3 linked regions of the Lepisosteus oculatus genome follow. The protein of the gene in region 2 purifies or fractionates together with the protein of the main gene of each other region. This does not show direct contact. Links are inferred from orthologs where the notes say so. Each region holds a gene or a part of one and is shown on either strand. Other genes may lie near its edges. The genes, in order: trim25, g3bp2a and caprin-1.

What was found.
Region 1: the proteins of g3bp2a (region 2) and trim25 purify together in Homo sapiens (affinity purification with mass spectrometry; 4 studies listed by BioGRID and IntAct, counting the BioPlex papers as one, with this or other methods). This does not show direct contact. The link is inferred for Lepisosteus oculatus from reciprocal best matches to the Homo sapiens genes G3BP2 and TRIM25.
Region 3: the proteins of g3bp2a (region 2) and caprin-1 purify together in Homo sapiens (affinity purification with mass spectrometry; 5 studies listed by BioGRID and IntAct, with this or other methods). This does not show direct contact. The link is inferred for Lepisosteus oculatus from reciprocal best matches to the Homo sapiens genes G3BP2 and CAPRIN1.

Annotation. Positions count from the first base shown.
Region 1 is NC_090704.1:46,864,620-46,872,552, reverse strand, and holds the start of trim25 (E3 ubiquitin/ISG15 ligase TRIM25), read right to left. Parts: upstream 3,039-7,933; 5' UTR 2,883-3,038; intron 2,388-2,882; 5' UTR 2,321-2,387; coding exon 1,718-2,320; intron 1,644-1,717; coding exon 1,548-1,643; intron 448-1,547; coding exon 214-447; intron 1-213. Other genes in the region: scpep1 (retinoid-inducible serine carboxypeptidase), read right to left, coding at 4,387-4,449, 4,970-5,133, 5,664-5,801, 6,291-6,404, 6,760-6,844.
Region 2 is NC_090696.1:72,269,100-72,276,120, reverse strand, and holds the start of g3bp2a (ras GTPase-activating protein-binding protein 2), read left to right. Parts: upstream 1-3,934; 5' UTR 3,935-3,959; intron 3,960-4,112; exon of another isoform or gene 4,113-4,365; intron 4,366-4,704; exon of another isoform or gene 4,705-5,476; intron 5,477-6,504; 5' UTR 6,505-6,520; coding exon 6,521-6,615; intron 6,616-6,868; coding exon 6,869-6,950; intron 6,951-7,021.
Region 3 is NC_090716.1:11,124,139-11,131,489, forward strand, and holds the start of caprin-1, read right to left. Parts: upstream 3,059-7,351; 5' UTR 2,968-3,058; intron 2,295-2,967; exon of another isoform or gene 2,137-2,294; intron 917-2,136; coding exon 734-916; intron 1-733. UniProt on the Homo sapiens protein: mRNA-binding protein that acts as a regulator of mRNAs transport, translation and/or stability, and which is involved in neurogenesis, synaptic plasticity in neurons and cell proliferation and migration in multiple cell types.

The sequences.
Region 1 (7,933 bases), on a different chromosome or scaffold from region 2:
CGGCTCTTTCCACGGGCTGCTTCTAGCAGGATGAAATCATTTCAAATCACCCTCTTTTGAACACATCAGTCATCTGAATGAAACGCCTTTTCAACACGCATATATATTTACTATCGTTGCTGTTAGATGTTTACAATTTCTCAGTTCAAATTGCCGTGCAGGATCTCCAGACGCAGTGCTGTAAAGCCAGTGGCACGAGGCTGGCGGCCCCACCTGCAGGAAGCTGATCTTGTGCTTCTGTGCCAGCAGGGCCTCCACGCGGCCCTTGGTGCTGGCCATCTCCTCCACGTTCATGCTCATCCTCTGCATCAGGCCCAGGATGCGGGTCTGGGCGCCTTCCTGCTCGTGATCCACAGCCCTCAGGGCCTCTCGCTCATCCTTCTCCAGCATCTCCTTCATCTGCCGGTACAGCTCCGCCAGGACCTTCTTCCTGGACTCCGCGGACTCCTGGACACCAGGAGAAGCCGACAGAGAGAGGAAAAGCTTGGTCATCGCGAGCAAGGCAGGGCCTGAGAGCGGAGGGGACTGCAGGTGTCTGGGACTCCCCGGCCCCTGGGGCCCTTCAGGAAGCAGGTGGACGAGACCCAGGGAGCAGTGAGCCACTCGCAGCCAAACAAGCAAGACTTGCCGAATCTTTCTGATCTTCTCTCGGTGTCTTTAAGCAGCTCTGCATTGAGATTTGAATTTGTAACTGAATTTATTCGGGCTTGAGCAAGAGGGGATTCGACTCAAAAATTCAAAGGTGCTCAGAGAGCTTGGTGGGCTGTCAGCCAGGGGGACAATCTAAGGACGAGGGCCCGCAGGTGGCGGGCGAGAAGGATGTGTACAGTATCCAGCTCATGGCAGGACACTCCTGTAACATCGGCACACCTCTCTGCCACGTACACGTCTGCAGGCAGGGAGCAGGATTGTTTATCACCTGCACCCTAGAAACGGCTCAGAAACATCCTCCTGAAACTGGTCTCTAGGGAGATGAGTCACGCACCGTCGTGCAGGCTGAGTCACGGCCGAGCACCACCCTCGTGTGCTCTCCAAGACCAACCTCCTGGGCGGCGTGAATATACAGTATATCCAATGACTTCAGTGAAAACTGGTCTGGGACTGATACAGTACAGTGGGATTCCAGGCCCTGACGGCCGGAGTCCAGAATGTTCTCTAGGTCTCGTCACTGAGCGGCAGGGTTCGAGCGGTAGAGGGGCTGAGGCTGTCGAAGAGAAACGCCGAGCTTGGCTGGACAGTGACTGAGCACCAGCCGCCCCACAGGCTCACAGTCCAGCAGAGCCAGTGGAGACAGAGTCCGGCTGTCAGCTGTAGCCTGTATACTCTTCCTCTGCACTGTGGCAACTTGACAGTATTAAACAAGGTGTTACTGCATCAAAATCTGCCCCTGTCCTCTCCCCTCTCCCCTCTGCCCCCTGCCCCCTGACCTCTCCCCCCTGTCATCTGCCCCCTGTCCTCTGGCCTCTGCCCCCTGCCCTTAGTCCCCTGTCCTCTGCTCTCTGTCCTCTCCCCCCTGTCCCCTGTCCCCTGTCCTCAGTCACACTCACCCGGACAGAGCTCTGCAGCTCCTTCATCTGTGAAACGACGATCTGGGTCTTCTCGATCTTCTCATTCAGCAGAGTCAGCTTCTCCGTCAGCTTCGCCTGTGAAGCAGGAGACAGGGCGCGGTGAGGAGGAGGAGGAGGAGGCGCGGGGGGCGGGGGGCGGGGGGCCGTACCTCCTGCTCCGCCCGCTGCTCCTGCGGCGTGGAGAAGCGGCAGGGCTTGTGCGTGAGCTGCAGGCAGAGGCTGCAGATGGCGCGGCGGTGCTGCAGGCAGAAGAACTCCAGCAGCTTGCAGTGCTCGGCGCAGAGGCGCTCCTGCAGGTCGGCCAGCGGCGCGCCCAGCTGGTGCGCCTGGAAGGCGGGGCTCTCCTGGTGGGGCCGCACGTGCTCGGGGCAGAAGGAGGCCATGCAGGTGAGGCAGGTGTTGCAGGCGCGGGCCTGCAGGCAGGTGTCGCAGAGCACAGACTCCGGGTCCGGCTCCGGCTCGTCCCCGTGCTCCGGCTCGTCCCGGGGGCCGGCGGCCGGCTGGGCCCTGGTGAAGGTGTCCACCACGGTGCTCAGCACGGTGTTCTTGCGCAGCTCCGGCTTGGTGTAGAAGTGGGTGCGGCACTGCGGGCAGTTGTAGCCAAGCGCCACCTGCTGGCTCTCTTGCCAGGTGGCCTCCAGGCAGCCCCGGCAGAAGTTGTGGCCGCACGGGGTGGTCACGGGGCTGTCGAACGTGCTCAGGCAGATGCTGCACACGAGCTCCTCCGCGAGGCTCAGCAGGGGCGACGCCATGTCAGCGCGCGGGTGGGGTGGTAGGGTGGGGGAGGCGAGCGCGTCACGGGTGCGTCACGGGCGAAACCTGCAGAGGCCGGGCGGAGGCAAGCCGGAAACGAAAACGAAACTTAACTGGAGCTCCCGAAGCGCAAACCTGGCAACGCAGAAGAGGCGATTACTCTTTCTACGAGTTACGATACTCTTTTTTTTTTTTTACCCTTAGGCAAGAAAAACTTCAAGACGAATAAAACAAAACATCAAATGGGCTATAATGCGTTTAAAAATGACTACATTAGGCCGCCCCTCGCTGTTATGGGCTCCAGTCCATGATCTCGAATAACAACACATTTTAAAGGTACTATAAACAAGACCGAGAGAGCAGACTGGTTGTCTGGAATCACTACATAGGCTCGACTGTGCGTGACATGAAAAAATACTTTTATACCCGATACTTAAGATGACTTTTTTACTCTACACGTCATTCCAGTTGTTCTGATCGCTATATATATACATATTTAAAGCGTGCGAAGGACAGCCTATCCGCCAGAGCTCACCGGGAGCGGCTGCGTGGAGGTCTTACCTGCACACCTGCGCGGCGAGACTGCGACTGTCCTCTGCCGGGCCGCCTGCGCGCGGGGCTGCGGGTCCAGCCGGTGCGCGCGACCTGCGCTCGCGAGGGCGAGATCCGCGGGTACGGCGCGCGAGCAGCGAGGCTGTGTCTGCAGTGTGTCCGCAGCGGTGTTCCTGATTCGCTCTCTCTCTCTCTCAAGCGGCGCCTCCACAGGTTCGTCTTGCGCGGTTTCAGCGTGTCGCGCAGGTGCGGCAGCTCTTCAGTGGAGGATGACAGGGGTCCCTCTGGCCAGACGAGTCGTCAAGACACTTACAATCGCATCCAAGCTGGATGCAAAACATGCAAACAGCAGAAATGCCGATGCTACATTCATGCTTAATATAGTTATGGTGACTGAGAAATGTACCTTCTACTCGTGCCTGTGTGTCTGCGTGTGTCCAGCGATGGGTTCTGGACCCTGTGCCTGGATAGTCTCTGACCCCCCTCAGCCCTGCACTGGAAGGAGCAATTAGAAAATGGATGGATGTACAGTCCCAGGGAAAACTAAAAACAGCAAGAAAACGCTGCCGAGACTTGAACAAGTGACACGCCTGACAAGTGACAGCCAGGGAAGCTGTTTGTGCCCGAGCCCTTGATATGTTTTCATCCTGCCACTTCCAAGCTGCTTCTTCCACTGCAGAGGCTCAGGGGAGCCGGAGCCTATCCCAGCAAGCACTGGGCACGAGGCAGGATACCCCCGGGACACACACAGACACACACTCACACCAGGGCCAATTTTCCCAGAAACCAATAAACCCACCAGCATGTCTTTGGACTGTGGGAGGAAACTGGGGCACCTGGAGGAACAAGGAAAACCTGGGGAGAACATACAGACTCCACACAGACAGCTCTGGAGTTGAACTGCAGTTACCTAAAGCAGCACATTTCCGAACCACTTCCTCCAGTCCAGAGTCATGGAGGAGCTGGAGCCAGTGCCCGATTTCCCAGGAGGAGGGAAACGCTAGTGACTGACGAAAAACGAGCTGAAACAACCTGCTTGCGATCGACTCCAGGAGCTCCAAATCAATAACTATCCGCTCTCTAGCAGCTAGTCTAGAAACTGAAGTATCAGAGTGATGGTCGCTCGACTCCGTCAGTCATGTGGTTCAGCATGAGAAGAGTTTAAAGTGCATCATGTCAGTCAACGTCATTCAACTGGCGTGTCCCCCTCCTTCTGCACGTATCAGAGTGAAAGTGCCCGGGGCCAGAACACCAGGAAAACAAGAGGCACAAGGCAGAGGACAACTGGACAGAAGATGAGATGAGATTTGTAAAAAAAACATCTTTTATTATCTTTACCAACAGTTTTAAAGCATTGTTCTGGAAATTAAAAAAAAACATTGTTTTTGGTACTTCCTCTTGACTTGCGAGCGCACTGAAACAGAGAAGGCAGCGGGAGTGGGAGTGGGTAGCAGTGGTCACGGTCAGTGGACATGATTGTCTCCGGCGATGGCCCCGTTGCCCTTGGCCCGGGTCACTCCTGCTGCGTCACCATCTTCAGCATCTCCAGGGCCATCCCGCCCTGGTCCGAAGGGATCTGAGAGAGAGGCGCGCAGTGAGACTGGGCCCGCGGTGCACCTCAAGTCTGACCAGGGGTGTCCAGTCGAGGTCCTGCAGGGCTTTAGTTCAGGTCAGCTGTTATTGACCTCTATCAGCTCACTATTGGCTTAACTGGACCAATTGAACAGCCTCTTGCAACCTGCTCTTCAGGTGGCTCTGCTTTAAAGAGGCCTAGAACAGCCTAGACAGGACCCCCCCTCTCCCCTGGACACCCCTGAACTGACCCCTCACCTGCTGACCCCTGTGTTCTGTCTATTTAACTTAAGTTTGGTTTCCAGACGAGAAACCTTTCCAATGACCATTTGTAATCTTTTGTGTGGGGATTATAGCCTGGTGAGTTTTCTTTAACGCGTGTTCAGTCAGAAAATGTTCAAGCTTGTTTTGTTTTGTCAGTCAATCATGATTTAAAAACAGTACAGCAATGTTAACGCCATGTTTAACCGTGGGCTGGGCAGGGGGGATGTTATCACACCATCAGGGTGCCTGTGCAGTGTTACCATGTGTCCGGCCTTGAGGATCCAGTAGAAAGCGAAGTTCTGGTAGGTCTTGTAGAAGGCTCCCGTCTGGCCATGGGAGGCGGGGTCATCCACAGCTGTCCATCTCATCTTACTAAATGCAGGAAGTCCCGCCCACTTCAGCCTCTTCACCCAGGCCTCCTGACCTGCCAGGAACACAGCACACAGCCCCGTCACTGGCACTCCACGACCTCACCCAGGGGCAGCTGCTGCCGCGGGCCACACCTCCTGTACGGGAAGCTACTGCTGTAGTGCCTGAGGTTAAGGGCTCATTACCAACAGGCTGGTTCTCAGTTCAAGCCCAGGCTGTGCCTCTGATTCGGTGTGTCACCCTGAGCCAGTGACTGCAGGCAGGACCCACTCTCCGTGACACCCCTCCAGGGCACCACTGAACACCCCTGAACTGGTCATTCTCAGGGGAGAAACACCCAGGTCTCTGCAGCACCAGATTGTCTCCCTTGAAATAAACCAATTATTCTTCTGCCACTCATCCTCATGAGACAAGCTTGATCACACACCGTTTTGAAATGTAAAACAGGCAGAGGTGAAGGACTGTGGCGTTTCTATGCTGTCTGTGCTCCTGCTTGGACACCAGTGTTCTGGGCACTAATGACAGGCTCTTGTCTTGCTCCTGCTCCTCGGACCATCTGTGTGGTGTGCAAACTCAGGGCCATACCCATGGTGTCCACGATGAGGTCCAGCTGTCCATTGTAGACAGTCACATTGACCCCGGCTGCCAGAAGCTGGTCCACTATGTCCACCACTGGCTTCATGAAGTCCCCCTCCATGCTGACGAAGACGTCCGAGGCCTGACCTGGGGAGACAGGCACATGGGTATGTGTCCCTGCAGACTGGACCAGCGTGACCTGTGACCACGTGCTGTGCAGGAAGCCCTGGGAGACACCTGTCCCACTGCAGGAGCCCACTGGAGAAACCACTGCTGCCCAGCCAGGATCCTGCAGGACCCTCAAGCCACGGCAGGCAGGGGTCGCCTCCTGTCCCACCAGTGCGCTGGGAGGTGGGTCTCTGCTGCGCCCCTCACCAGCCCGGACCCCTCTGACAGAGACGCAGCCCCTCAGTGCGCCCGTCTCTGCTGGTCCAGCTCACCGTCACGGTCACTACGGTCCACAGACGCTCACGCACTGTAATTCAGATCCCGAGCGATGGTCATGTCGGGCAGGTCATTAGGGGATCAGGCGATCCCAAAGACCCTGTGGATCCCCCGCGTGGGGAAACAGGAGCAAACACAGGGAAGGGAAGTGCAGAGCGAGACCGGGGGTCCCTCGGCTGGCCTGGCACGTACCTCCCCAGGTGACCCGGCTGGGAATGATCTTGAGCTTGTCTCGGATGGGCCCGTTCATCAGCTGGCTGAGCGTCTGTCCGTGCAGCGGGCCGAGGCAGCGGCGCTGCAGGGAGACTGCGGGAGACAGCGGGAGCGGGGCTGAGCGGCCGGCGCGCGGAGGGAGAAGATCGGCGGCCGCCAAGAGCACGAGCGCACGACGGGTCTCGGGGATCTGACACCGCGGCGCCGGCGTCGGGCTGGAGTGTGTTTAAAGACACGTTAGGGTGCCATTGTCAGTCTTTGTGCCCACAGTGCCCAAGAGCAGCCCAGAGCTCACTCTCCGTCAGGAATGAAGACCCCAGGGCGGGCAGAGGCTCCCCTGACTGCTGGAGGCGATCTGGGAGGAAGAGAGCCCCCCCCTCAAGAGGAGCAAGGGCTCAACACGGCAGGAAACCCGGCACTCGGGAGAAAAAGAAAGGCTCGTTTTTACCACGGTATCCATTTTTTGCCACAGCCTTCCGTGCCTCATCGGGGTCCTGGGTCAGGATGTTGTAGAAGTTCACCCCGTTGGTGTTCTGAAAGGGCAGGACAGGGTCCAGAGTGACCGAGCGCTCCTGTCCACCGGGGAGGTCATGACCGGACAGGGGCAGGGGCAGAGCTGGACCGAAACTGCCCCCAGGGTAGCCTGCCACAGCTCAGACAGGAAACTAAAAGTTCAACTACGACTTGAATGGTGAATGGGTGCCTAATCTGACCCACAGCCCTGCCCGCCCAGTGGGCGACTCGCTAAGTGTGCTGGATCATGCCAGACCTCTTCCCTCCTGCTTGAAGAAAGCAGTTGTTCCACTGGGAGAGTGGATCCTGCACCGCCTCCAGGGCCGTGTGAGCACGGCCCGCGCCCCTGCTCCCAGAGTGCCGTGTGAGCTCGGCCCGCCCCCCTGCTCCCAGAGTGCCGTGTGAGCACGGCCCGCCCCCTGCTCCCAGAGTGCCGTGTGAGCGCGGCCCGCCCCCTGCTCCCAGAGTGCCGTGTGAGCGCGGCCCGCCCCCTGCTCCCAGAGTGCCGTGTGAGCGCGGCCCGCCCCCTGCTCCCAGAGTGCCGTGTGAGCGCGGCCCGCCCCCTGCTCCCAGAGTGCCGTGTGAGCGCGGCCCGCGCCCCTGCTCCCAGAGTGCCGTGTGAGCTCGGCCCGCCCCCCTGCTCCCAGAGTGCCGTGTGAGCACGGCCCGCCCCCTGCTCCCAGAGTGCCGTGTGAGCGCGGCCCGCCCCCCTGCTCCCAGAGTGCCGTGTGAGCGCGGCCCGCCCCCTGCTCCCAGAGTGCCGTGTGAGCGCGGCCCGCCCCCTGCTCCCAGAGTGCCGTGTGAGCACGGCCCGCCCCCCTGCTCCCAGAGTGCCGTGTGAGCACGGCCCGCCCCCTGCTCCCAGAGTGCCGTGTGAGCGCGGCCCGCCCCCTGCTCCCAGAGTGCCGTGTGAGCGCGGCCCGCCCCCTGCTCCCAGAGTGCCGTGTGAGCGCGGCCCGCCCCCCTGTTCCGAGAGTGCCGTGTGAGCGCGGCCCGCCCCCTGCTCCCAGAGTGCCGTGTGAGCGCGGCCCGCCCCCCTGTTCCCAGAGTGCCGTGTGAGCTCGGCCCGCCCCCCTGCTCCCAGAGTGCCGTGTGAGCACGGCCCGCCC
Region 2 (7,021 bases):
CTCCCCCCACCAAGCCGAAGCGCTTTAGTGTTATGAAAATGACCGGGGCCGCGGCTGGTTGTACTGCGATCCCAAGCGTTACTCCGATCCTCGATCCCTTTCCCCCCCAGACCGATCTTGTTGTGGGACACTGACACACACAGCTACCCCGGAACAGCACTGGAACACCGCGCTGCGCAGGCGCGGAGACGTGGCGAAACGTGGCTGCTCACAGGGCCAGAGGTGATTTTTAAAGTGACAGGACCTCCTTCACCTTTCGGGGGGTCATGGCGCCCCATGGTTTTCCGGTTTCCCCGGCTGGTCTTGCGCAAGACGGAAGGCGATTTTTAAACACGGGATTTCATTTCGGTTCGTAACTATTACAAACAAGGGTTACACTTGCTTATACAACCGAAAGCATGACTGTAGGTGGCCCTGATAAGCTTTCAAGTGGCACCAGAACAAAACCAGGATTGCAGGACTGGTTGCAAAAAAAAGAAAGCCTTTTCTGGGGTCCTCCTTAGACAAACTGAGAATCCCAAGGTTTCTGGACCAAAGAACACCTTTGTGACATTGGACGGTTATTAAATAACATTTGTAATTGTTCTTCTATACTTATTTTTTTTGCAGGCATTTGCTTCATTTAAAAAAAAGGGGGTGTTTCATCTAACAGGTGGTCATTTCGCTATTATGACAGGGCTTTGCAAATTCGCTTGCATTGTGGTAGTTTAGAATTCAAAACAAAGGCAATAAGCAACACTTAACAGTCCAACACTTTGAAGCAATCTGTTAGTTGGTCTTAAAGGTGGTGCTTGGAAAATACCCAACATCAACAAAAGACTTGGTAATGAAAATCTTAACTTACACTGAAACACCTTGAAGAGATAGCCCAACATGCAAGTTAAACATGTGATGCATGAAGTGAGTTTGAGTGTTAATGTTTCGTCTGATATGTCAATTCATCATTTTGTAATGACATTGTTTTTTACAAGGATGGTTGAAGGTCACCAACCTTCATGTGTGCTATTGATCACACGGTGCCCCTATGTGAACAACTGTTCGCTTGTGTCCCCACCATTGGCTTGGACACCAGGAAGACAAGCATGCAAACAGATCATTGTACTTTAGCAGATATAAGAATACTAGAATGGTTACAAACAAGAAGAGACCATTCTGTCCCTCTGTCTAATTCAGTTTTTCAGTAGCTAGCTGATATGGCTAGGCAGCTTCTTGCACACTCCCACACCCCACAGCAGGAAGTGCCACCTGTTCTCTGTTTTAAAATGCACTTCCTGTGCATGTAGTTTCTATTTGTGCCTTCTGGTTCATATTTCAGTGTTGATTCTGAAGACTTTCATTCAGTAGTACTGCTTTTATCTAGGCTTTTTAAGATTTTGACGTCTTGAGTTTGGTTCTCTCATAATCTTCTTTGTTCAAGATTAAAAATAATGATTTTACCATTGCTGGTTGGAATCACAATGCAACTTCATTGCATGCAGCTTCTAACAAATATACAATATACAATTTCCAATGCACAGTAATTAAGTTTAAAAAATAAAATAAAATTATCAATCGTAATTTTTATTTCTGATGACAGTAACATCTTTTATTCTTTATTTATAATTCAGCTATTTGTATTTTTTAAGCATTTGAAAGTGGGAAGAATGCAAAGTTTTCAAACAACTCTAAAATGTTTTTTTTTTTCATGCAAGCAACAGCTAGTTTTAATAATATGTCCTCAGTGATTATTTGGTTGTATTTCAGATTATTTCCTTTAGATACACAAATTCACATCAAAGCAAAAATTTACTTGGGCATGTCACAAAACAGGTGACCACTGCAATTCAAACGACCTCACCTAGGAGAACAGATGAGATATGTTCATATTTCATATTTGACATTTACTGTACTTTTTCTGAAAATCTTCCTTCAGACATTTTTCTGAGAAATGACTATGCCCAGTTTGTTCTACTGTGAGCTCATTGTGTATACAAATTTTTCTCTTTAAACTTTTTTCTTTAACCACTTGTATTTTTTTATAAACTGTTTTATAACCATTAAAAGTACTGGTTTCTTGTCAAGACTATTTAATGAGTTAGCTACTGTATGCACACCAACACACTGAGTTAAATGCCTTTCCCCTTGAGAGCCCTAAAGTTCAAAACTTCAGCTGTTTCTTGCTGTTTTATATGCAGCTCATGTCTTGACTGGTCTTTTCTGCAGGGGTACATCTACCCCTTCCCCCTTGTTACAGATCCACAGTCCAGCCATTTCTTAGAGACACCTGAAGAAGGCTCCACGGCCAAAACGTTGTGTTCTCTTTCTTCTTTTTTTCAGCATGGAATAAACCTATTACTTATTTCTTAGAGATGCTAGTTATTTAGAATTTAGCCATCTTTGAAACATGAACAATCTTTTGATTGATCATGTTTGCCTTTGATCAGTCAAGCATTGCAGGCACAACTTATACGATGTCATACTGTTTCCTTAACTTATTCAATATTGTTAGTCTATACTATGGTGGAAGAATTGTGCTTTTTACACAGTTAATGTATACAGGTCAAAGTTTAATTTAAGTGTGCAGTTCTGTGATTCTGTATGTTATTATTTGAGCCTTTCCTAGAATACTTACAAATATCACATTACTTGTTATTGTGTTCTGTAATTGGCTTTATTTTTAAAGTCTGTCTCTTAAAAAAGCATGTGAGTAAAATTAAAACATTAATTTAATTAACTGCCATTGAACGGCCAGATTAAAATCTTTTATTTTAAAGTGTCATATTTTGTGTTTTTGCTGATAACTACTGCCCATTAGATACTGCTCTTTCCTGATGTGCTTCATGCTCTTCAGAAACTACTAACATCAAACAACACAGGTGGGTCTCACTGAGTTCATATGGATTATATATGTCCAGCCCAGAAAAAATAACTATCTGTGCCTTTTTTGTCTGTATAATTGCAACCCTCCTGTGGGACATCTTTCACTCCCCTGTTTGTCTATAGTCCCCCTGAAGTTCACTAATTGCTGACTTTCTCATGGAATCAAGGTTTAAACACAGAGACACGGAACTCTAAAGTTCAGAAAAGGGCAACATTGAACCCTTGTAAACACAGCTGATTTGATTTCTTACTGACCTAATTGGTTAATTCAAGTCATGAAAGTCTGAGATGGAATAAACACAGCAAACAACACTAGAGCGATAGGGATGCCTACCCCTGATGGAGACTGTGGCATAATGCAGGGTTACCACATTAGAAGATTCAAAAACAGGCTTCAGTCGTGGTTCAATAGAGCTGTGTTTTGGACTAGACACTGTCATGAGTTAATTATCCAGAGACTGTACTGAAACTGCAGGTCCTTTGGATGTTTCTCTGTCAGAAACGTCCTGAGAGGAGAGGGAGGAGTCTGAAGAGGAAATTCAGGAGACACAGAACTGGGGAGGGCACAGGAGGAGGCTCAAGAAAATGTAAACAGAGGAACATTAGAGAGAAAAGCTACTCAAGAGCTGACAGGAGAGACACTGGCTGACACAAGGCATGAAGTTCAGCAAGTGGCTTAAACTGAACATTGGAACCTCGGAATCAAGTTGTACAATCTATGTGTTACCGTTTTCGCTCTAATTTGCATTCAGGTCGTTTTTTAAAATCTGATTGTACCATTTTAGAATTGCAAGCAAATGATTTAATAGGAAGTAGTGACCAAGACAGGGAAAAAAAGGCACAGGCTGCAGCAATAGCAATACTACATGATGATACACAAGTAGAAGAATTCGTAGATAATAAATGTGTACAAGAATGTGTCTGGCAGATAATAAAGCTTATTATTACTTCTGCTTGTTATTTGTGTGCCTTGCTTTTGGTTTAGTTAATGTCTTATTCTAAATCTATTGTTTTCACACAGCGCTACATTATGAATTTTTTGCACTGTTTAATTTATTTATTGTTTTAAACCGAGGGACTTCTGGATAAGGACGTCAGAGGTAAATATTAATAAATAATCGCGTAGTATCGGAGGGTCTTTGTGACGTCATAATCTCGAAGCGCTGGACCGGCGGCGCGGGAGGCGGGCGGGAAAGCACTCGCTTTTTGCGTCACAATAAGTATTGTCCAATGTGAGGTTTTTATTGGTTTGTTGAGTGTGACGGGGGTTCCCTGCCCCGGAGAGCAGGGGTGAGACAATAAGATAGAATCTATCGCTTTAAATCCCAATCTCTGATTAAACAGAGATCATAGAGTCCTAGGGCAAGGTGGGGGGAAAAAAAATCAGAAATTAATCCGTTTTCCCCAGAGAAATACCTGTTTCCGTGTTTAACTGACTAGCTTTATCTTCAGTATTAATCGCCATTCTCTTTAATCACTGTGTTGATTTAGGTAGGTGTTTAAAAGGTAAGTTCGATTTGTTTTGCCTTAATTTGGGTAATTTTTGTTATTCTCCCGTGTTTTGGTGGTTTGATATTAATCACTTCACCTTATTTTGTATTTGTTTTTGGTTACGTAAAGATGGGGTATGGCGTGTGCATTTTCTAACATGAAAAGGGATATTTAGCACGTTTGGATTTTTCTTCTATTTTTCAGACCAGTTCTAGTGAAAAGGGACATTCTTGGTATTTTTTTTCCAATTGTGTGTCGTTTTGAAGAGCTCGCGTTGCGTTTGAGCGGCGAGATCAGAAAAGGCCTGTGTAACTGTGTACAGTAGCGGTGTTTTTTAACGTGATGTCGAGCACGCTACCTGCTGGCTTTTCGTGCATTATCTTTGTTTACACACCTCGCTAAAAGACCGAAGGAAAAAAAAAACCGTTGATGTACACCCATCTGGGCGCGGATTAACGTGTTATTTTGTGCACTTGGCGGGGCTGTTGATTTTAACACAAAAGAAACGACGCCATAACGCGCACCGCCATGAGCCCCCGGCCGGTTTCACTATCGCTCTTTCTCGGAAGCGCGACTGAAGCAGCCCAGACAGCCGCGGTTACACCTCTCGTGTGCGGCAGCGGCCTCGGCTTTTCGCACAGGAGTTGACGGGTGCTGGCGGCCAGTGTCGTGTCCGACAGTCTTGCTGCGGGAGAAACGCTTGATTTCAGACTGTTTTTTTTTTTTTTTTGACGCGACCGACCTACTACTACTACATGCACATTGCGTCGCTGCAGGACGGCGGCTCTTAATGAAGGCCGCGCTGTACTCCTGAGAACTTAGAAAAGACCCGAGCTGACTGCTCCCCCTCCTCCTCCGCATCCGCGTACGGACTGTCGTGCAACGGGGTGACACGATTTCGTGCCGTGGTGCCGGGCCGAACCGTGCAAATGCGATTTCGTCCCCGTTGCGCTGGAGGGCCTTCCGCCGTTTCCCAGCGAGCCTCCCACCCGGGTGTGCGGGGGATCTGACGAGCGTGGGGCAGGGGAGACGTGAAACATTGTGGAACATTTAAGAAACCACCCGGGAAGGTTCGGGTGGACTCGGGATCCAACGTGGTGGAGGAACGAAACACGCGTTTTTTAAAGTAATTCGTTGCGGGTGGTTGGTTTTGTTAGCGGTGGTGGTGTTGCGCGGAAGTGTGTCTGATGGCGCAGTTGAACGCGGCTAAGGTGTTGCTTGCAGGAAGTTGGCAGCGTTAGGCGCCGTGGAGGCGCTGGTTATTACCTGCTCGCTGGAGTTAACACGACTGTTGGCCGTGTGTTCGTGAGGGGTGCGAGCAAAACCCGACGGGACGTAGCTTATTTGGTCAATAGTGTTGGATCACGTTGTTTCACGGAGGACTAACCCTGCGGCATCGTCCTGTATCTCTCCTCCTCTCGCCCCCGAGCTTGACGGTCTCCATGTGCCTGAACGGCATTGATGAGCCGGGCGTAAACAACTCGTTTCATTTTGCAAACGAAAGGCTGGGGTGATACATTTTTTAAGGATTGGACCCACATGCAGCTTAATAGACGGCGCTCGATTCGGCCAAGAGAAACAAAACACAGGCTGCGCGAGTTTCCACCTCCAGTTTTCTTTACCTTTTTTTTGTACAGGTCTGGGGGAAAAAAAAGCACTTTTTTGTTCAGCATTTTTGGCCTTTTTTTCCTCAATTCATAACTTTATGTTGCCCCCACACCACAATTTAGTATTAAGGTTCCCTGCATAATTCATACAGCTGTCTACTTGTGTGCATTGGCCTTTACTGATCTCCAGGGCGCTATGATCTTTGTGCATCAAAAGTAAAGTATGTTTGGGAAAAGGCATAGGAAGTAGATTTGGAACTTGTGCCTGTATTTTGAAATTCTGAGGCGTCATAAAAAATAAATGATCCCCCCCCCCCCACTCTCTGAAAGAAGTGGTGGGGAATATGGAATATTTCTTTGTTTTCTGTGAACAACAGAAGGGCATCTAAAAATGCATCGCCGTTCTTGTTCCATAGACCCTTGCATAGCTCTGATCATGACCTGCTGCACATGGAGGAGGTTGCTGTCGGCAGCAGTGACCTTTCGCAGTGATTAACTTCCGGGGCCACGCTGAATTCATGTCCCCCTCCCCCTGCTTTTCTTTCAGCACGTTTACCAAAGAAATGGTGATGGAGAAGCCAAGTCCCCTGCTTGTAGGGCGGGAGTTTGTGAGGCAGTATTACACCCTGTTAAACAAGGCACCAGATTTTCTGCACAGGTAAGGGAGAAGGAGTTCAACCCCCTCGTAGCTGCAGGCCAGTACCGGCCAAAGGGAAAGCTTTTTTTGCTGCGGTTTTGCTGTTTTGTTTTTTTTTATATTCCTTCCTAGTATCAGACTTACTGTGCAAGTACGTGTTGGGAGATTGCACATAGGTTTGAACACTCCCCCTGTGCTAATTTGCGTGGCTGCCTCGGTTTAGGGTTTGCCATGCAAAATGATCTCACCTGTGATCCCGGCTTTTCTGCTTTAGGTTCTACGGGAGGCACTCCTCCTATGTCCACGGAGGGTTGGATTCCAATGGGAAGCCGGCAGAAGCTGTTTATGGTCAAGCTGTAAGTTTTTTTTCCTGTGGGAAATATAGCTCAAACATGTCTGCATGTGCTCCGTGCATAAGCTCTGATGT
Region 3 (7,351 bases), on a different chromosome or scaffold from region 2:
CCCATCTCTGTAAAGACATCTAAAACATAAAGATGTCTTATTTTAAATGGTCCAGCGAAGTGACGCAAGGTTCATTAACTCAACGCCTCAGTCCCCAGCCAGAAGTCAAATCCCTGCAGCTAAGTACCAAATTATACTGCAGCTTCCGATGACAAATGGAAAATGTAAGAAACTGACAAACAGATCAGAGATCAGACAGATGAACCCACACTGTCTAACCATGCACCCCGTTTTTACTCTTATCTGTCAAGACTAATGTTGGATCGACATGACTGCAAAGAAATACCTGACATTTCTTAAATTGTATTGACATTACTATAAATGTTGTGATGCATATGATTCAGGAAAGTCTCAACATTCTTGATTGTGTGCCTTCCTACCAGATGCATTCTTAGGCAAACTTTTTTTTTCCTTAAAAGTCTGATAATGATTACATCCGTTTACTAAAATACCCTTACCAGGGGGCAAAAAGTAGAACCCCTCCATGATGTCACACCATCAGTGAGTCTCAAACTAGGTAACACACACAAGGCAGTGCTATGTGGTGCTTTGCACCCAGCACCCAGAAAGAGTTAACACTCTTACAGGTCCCAGAAACATAAACCCCTCTAGACAGTACTGTGTGATATGCAAACATGTTGTTGCAAATGCCATTTCCTTAACAAGGACCACTTCACCGGAGTGTGTGGGGATTCCCAGGTGATGGCTGTCCTGACTCCACCTGAGACTTTACCTTTTTCTTTTCCAGGTTACGGACTTTCTTGTCAATGACACCAAGCACCTGCTTCATGGCCTCCGTCTGAGCCCCGGACTGGAACTGCCCGGGACCGGAGAGCTGGCCCAGCGGACCGGGAGCGGACCCCACCTCCGGACTGGAGGACTGCACCGTCCTGTTGCCAATAGTCGCTGAGGGCATCTGAGCAGGCAAGGATGGAAGGGATGGCAAAACAAAAAAAAAAGGGTTAGTCAGTGTTGCAGTGAGATTGGTCAGACCCTACAACTCCAACATCTTAATCTGGAAAAGCAGCAGGAAGACTTGGAAATCCTGCACTTGAGGCTTAGCGCTGCTGAGCCATCAGTGTGTTTGGGTGACTTGACAGCAGTGAGATCTGTTGACTTGTCATCGGTGTCTGAGACGGTTCAACAGCGTCGAGAGCCTGGGAAGTTTCTACCATCATCCAGCAACCGTTTTGAGACGAATTAAAGACCGAAATCAGAGTGCCCGGGCCAGTGGGCGCTGGGACCCGACACTTGACAGCCGTAGTTTTATTCCAGACCGCAGCCTGACTACTCTTCTCCACCAGAAGGGGTCGGTAGAGAGTACAGCAAAACAAAGGCCTTCATTTAGCGGAACAATGTCTCTGCAGCAATTAAGGCACACACTGCCAAGACGTCAGTCAGAACTACCTGGGCCGAACTAACGAGATCACCTTCTTGCCCCTCAGTTTTCTTTCGGCTGAAATCAGTCAAACTACCTACTGAATCCCCCCCCCCCAGAAAGAAGTCAACAGAAACTCGTGATTAAAAATGCAGCCATCATCCACGACAATACCTCCACCATCCAGACTGTATATTTCAGCAATAGAAAACAGCAGCAGCAGCAGCCAGAGGGAAAATCGCTGGCCATGGTCTGCGTGCGTGTTCTTATTTTTACACAAAAAAAAGAGAAACTTTGTAAAATATCTATGGCCAACTCTCTAAAACACGAACAGTAACTTTCCGTAGAAAGATCACCCCCCCCCCCCAGCTAGTTCATGTTGTGGAAAGGCCAGATTTCTCCGTCCGGTTACGTGCAATGATGCCCCGTTAAACTGGTAAAACCTTCCGATTTGCAGCCCCTAAACTCCAGCAGGCAGACCTTACCCTCCCCACCCCCTCCCTTTCTTCTCGGTCATTCTTCTGCTCACTTCAGCCGTTACATTGGAAACGGAAGCAAGAGCCAACAGTGCCAGTGTCCCAGGAAATACCATCTTACAAAATCATCCGCACACGACAGCCGGTATAATCCTCTTCCCCCACACGAGTTGCCTGTAAATTGCGAAGCCACTGAGGTGGTTGGGTACGCATTGTGTTTTTAAACAATCGCCTTCCGCCGAAAACGCGTCGTTCCCCTCCAGTTTCGTCGGGAGTGCTTACCTTTTCAGTTTCTATTTATCCACAAGGGAATAAATAATGACTTTTTGAATGTTAAATTGTTTTAGTCTGTAATGATGTTGCTTTCTTTTTATTTTATTTTTTTTTTCTTCTGGGATCCGCCCCGCCGGCCGCACCGACAACTGAGGGAGACCAACCGGAGCGGCAACACTTTATATGGAGGAAGGGCCCCCGTTATAGCTGCCTGAGGATCTGCCTGAACTTGAGTTAAACGTATCAAACCTTATGTAACAAAAGTAAAAGAGACAGGCATTTTCCAACTCCCTAGAGCACATTTCCAAATTATTTCCTACCCGCATATCTCTAAATTTAATCTAAATTGCTCCAAGGCAGGTTTTTTTGTCGATAGTGTCGGAACAGGCAAGCAAGACGAAGCTCGTCTCCTGTTTCCTATGCATTTCCATTTTAACATGCCTGCATTATTCTCTGGAAACACGCAGTTTTGCTTCTTCAGACAGTTTGTGTCACGTTACATTGGTAGAAAACGTAAGGCAACTTTATGTTATACTTCAAGAACACCGAAAAAAACGCCGTGCTTATTTAATGTAGTCTTTCTCGAAGAGCGTGACATTTCACTATGGGCAGTTGATCACCAGGCTTAACTGCAGTAACAAAATACATTCATAGCAATTGCTGACTGCTGTTATATAAGAACGCGTGGAGCCGGAGTTTTAATTAATTCGTCTTCTTTGGGTAGAAATACATATTTATTTTGGAATATCTCGTGTCCATGCTATCGCCACAATCACAGCCCTATATTATATGCGCTGTTTTAAAAACAGGCACACTTAAAAGTGAGCACATTTTCTGTACCTCGTTCAGTTCTGCTCCGTCAGAGTCACTGCCTGGGGAAAGAAGGACCCAAAGTGCTCCTGCAGAGCGCCTGTCCAAAATGAGCTGCTACTGTTGATGATGTCACACACGACCATGACATACAGCTCCACTTAGCCTTGGAGGGTGTCCGGATTGATTGCAAATTGTAACACTAACATTTCATGTATAAATACGAAATACAAGTAACATATTCTTCTTTCATTATTTCATGCTGATTGAAGGAGGCCAGTGCCATTAACTGATAAACATTTTATATTCCAGTGTATACAGCTTTTTGCCACAGTATTAAATTATACAGGCATTAAAAACGTAACGCTCTTGCATCCAATAGTCATATGCAGCCCGTTTAATGCCTCTCTATATTGCTATAAACGGAAAAATCCTTACGCTTTACCTACTAACAGTGATTAGTCGGCTTTCACGGGATTAAATTTGATACACGCAAGTACATACAGTATGTCCAGTATGGTATGTTTTACGTCATTAATTCTGGAGTTTGTGGTAGCACTACACTGCCAGTTCAGCAAAAATGTTCAAATTGATTTGTAAACGAGTTTGTTATTGCTTTTTACACATACAAACATAACCATTTTCAGACATCGAAATATAATGCGTATTATTACCCAGTATGCATTTTAAAGTCTATTACAAGTTCAGTATCACAGCGTAACAATAAATGTAATAATTTTACAAACTATATATATATATGTACTGTTGTCCAATAAGGATACAGAATTTTGTAGTTGCATTATGAAGACAAATACGATTGTTCAAAGCAATTCACAAGAATTCAATGTCGTGTTTTTTTCTGTACAGGCTGTGATTTAATTTTTATCAGCAGAAATATTTTATCATTGAAGACCACTCCAAACAGACTGAGACAACACCACATAACTATGCTGTAAAATCTCACAGATTTGTCACTAAGTTTATGAAGAGCCATACTTTATGAGTCAGCAGTAAGTGATCTGTTCAAAGAAAAAATAAAAATTTAAATCCCTTTTGAACAGATTTCTATTAACATACATCAAGTAGTTTAACAACATTAAAGAAAGCTAAAAAAGGATGACAAATGAAAGTTAAACACATCTTATTAAAAAAAAAACACTGTACGAGCCAGTCCAGACTGGCACAGATTTTACATTAACACAACAAAGATTAGATTAACTGTTTTTTGTGAGCTCAATTCCTGAAAAATGAGATCAGGTAAGCCTGAGTGAGTGGTGCATAGTTTGGGAGAGATACTTTTATATAAAAAAAGTAGCATGGTAATTGATCAATGACAGACTTGTTCAAAGAATGTATGCAATGCGACGGAGAAACCTCAAGGTGGGATTAAGTCTTGATGCTCTGTGAGGTAAATGTACACATGGTGTTGCTGGCACATCCTGGTGTATACTTATGTGCTAGGAATGAGTATTTCCACACGTGTCATCTTGTGCTGGTGGGTCTTAGTGCACCCAAATAAGTCTATTTTTGGAGCTGAGTGAAGACTGAGACAATGTTGACTTATGTTTGGTTGCGTTCTAATACCACAAATAGGACCGGCTTTGTATCCCAGTGTGCACAATAGAAATGCCCCTAGTCTCACTCTTCAGTTTATTTGTATCCTCTTCTTGCTGTGGGAGATGTGGACTGGGACTTATTCACCCTGAAGAGGCCTGCACACCTTAAATGCAGCAGGTAATTTGAAGAAGGCCATCCGACAAATTATCCTCTAGGAGAGCCAAACCACCATTAGGAGTGACAGTTTGAAAATATACCAGATGATTTCAGGTTGCAATATGGCTATTGCGTGGAACTGTTCTTCAACCACACATTCAATTCCTATTCACTAACGTTTAATAAGGGGGTCTAAAACAATCTAGTTGAAGCCTACCCTCATTTCCCTAATACATCATTGAATTAAAATAGACTACAGTATAAGAAAAAATATCTACATACAGTAGATATAGTGTTTTTAGACCATTGACCATGGGTACTCTCTGGGGTTTGGCACATGTCCAACTTTGAACACTGTCCAAAATAATGGGCAACACTTTAAGGAGGTGACATTGACAATAATATGCGAATTGCTCATTGAGATGAATCTGGTTTTGCTTTACTTGCAGTCTCTATGGTATGGTATCTCTATGGTGCACAACCAAACCTTTATTAATTTATATGTTGATTGTCTGCAAGTGTCTACTGAATTGTATGTGCTTAAATTATGTGAAATCTGTTTATATCATAGATATAATGAATATCAACACTAGTCCATTGCAGGGCCCACACTGACACAAACACACACCAGAGCCAATTTCCCTAGAAGATAATTGTCCTACCAATATATCTCTGGACAGTGGGAGGACCAGAGGAAACCCACACGAACACGAGGAGATTGGACCCAGGGCCCCAGCACTGTGAGACAGCAGTGCTATCCACTGTGCCACCTGGATATCAACAGATGAATGCAATTACAAATCAAGTGTAGGATATCAGAAGAAACAGTGGGCAGCTAGTCTCCTGGTGAGAAAAAAGCAGCAGACTTAAATACACTTTATTATACAGAAAGCAATTTGCCTGATTCATATCACCACACATACCAGTCAAGCTGTAGGCTTCATAAGCATTCAGCCTACATAAAAGTCAGGTCTATATTTCAGCATGTCAGAAAATCCATTTTACAATATGAGATATTAACCTGTTAAATTAATGCATGCAGTTAAGGAGAATGTGGTGAATCTTGTTTAACAACTATCGCATTATTGCCAAGATTTACCTCCACTTAAATGCTGTCTGTGGGTTTTAGAAAAGTGTTCAAGAGCAGTCATGTGGAAATCACCATAGAACTAAAGTAAACACACAAAATAATAGTCTTTGTACAATCATTTTACATATTACATAGTTACATAGTTAACATACAGTTATCTCTACAACCTATTACTTTATTTGCTGTAGCCATATCTTTACTTTTAAAAGTCTTAACTGCAGGGCAGCACTCTTGTCTGGTATATTATTATATACTAATACTGTTATATGACGCAGTTCTTTCACAGGCGCTTGTGGTTGCCTTTCTGTACACAATTCCACAAGGGGGCAGTAGGTCTCTAGGTTTTGAAAGGGGGCCATAAACAGGCTTCAATGAAAACTCTTGATAAACGATTGCTGATATTATAACTGGTATTATAACATACATACTACTAATCATCATTGTCACACTCACTTGGGTTATGACAAGTGTACATATTTTAGAGTAATCATGGCAAACCCAGCAACTACATGAATATTCACCCTTAATAATGCCAGACATTTACGATACGTAAATGATTTGAAAAGATTATATTACTACCTTAATACATTATAAAGAGTACATTTATAATAAAATGAAATTGTTAAACCTGAATGTACAGTACTGTAGCCTCTGTGAAATATATTTCTAGAGGGTAGATGGATTAAATGGCAGGTTTATTGACGAAAGCTTATCAAGATATCTTTGAAACTAAGTAAGCCTGAACCTGACAAATTCTGGCTTCCAAGGTAAAAGGAAAACCAGGTTGCTACTGTATTTGCTGTTTGTGGTGCAGTGGGAAGTACCCTTCCTGTGTCACCTTTGGATGAGATGATTTGACAGCTACTTGGTTATGAAGGATCTCCTGGCATTGTTTGGTGGTAATCCTTGTGTCGTGGCTAGAACTGCTCTGGGCTTCCATAATCTGGCATCCAGAAAGCTCTCTTACTTCATTTGATGAAGCATTTTTTTTGGTTTGGCAGATACAGGAAGCAGTTAACATGGCTCCAACCCTCCTTGATTGCGCTCTTTGATTGAATGGCTGTTTTTATAGAAGGATAATACTGATTACAGTAGGGTCTCAAGGGATAATGAAAGCCCCTTCTGATGAGTGACTAATTTCCGCAACCTGCTGTGTTTCAAACAGACACCAGGACCTCCTTCATCTTTAAATAGGAGTCCTCTCTCAGTTCTGCTTTCTCATGTACATTTTTATCAGGTTCCCAACTCAGCCCTCATTTGCCTTAGGTTGTTATGGCAGAGACACTGTTCCCTGGAAAAATTTGGACAGGAACAGAGGCCAAGCCTCTAAAAATATTCCACAAGCATTCCAGGAAATTGTACAGTACATTCGGAAAACCTTCTACCACACAGAGAATATTCCTGTCTACAAGAGAAATTAACGTATTTTATTGTGATTTTACACTAATGTTTCTGTGGGGGTGTTTATAGTTGATGGCCCTTCCTATCAAGGAAGTTTTAATGTATAAAGTAACAATTCAGTAACAATGCATTCTTTATTGATTGAATTAGGTATGTCATCCCTGTGTAGCACTGTGGCAAAACAGAAACTAACATGTAATCAAACAGCTT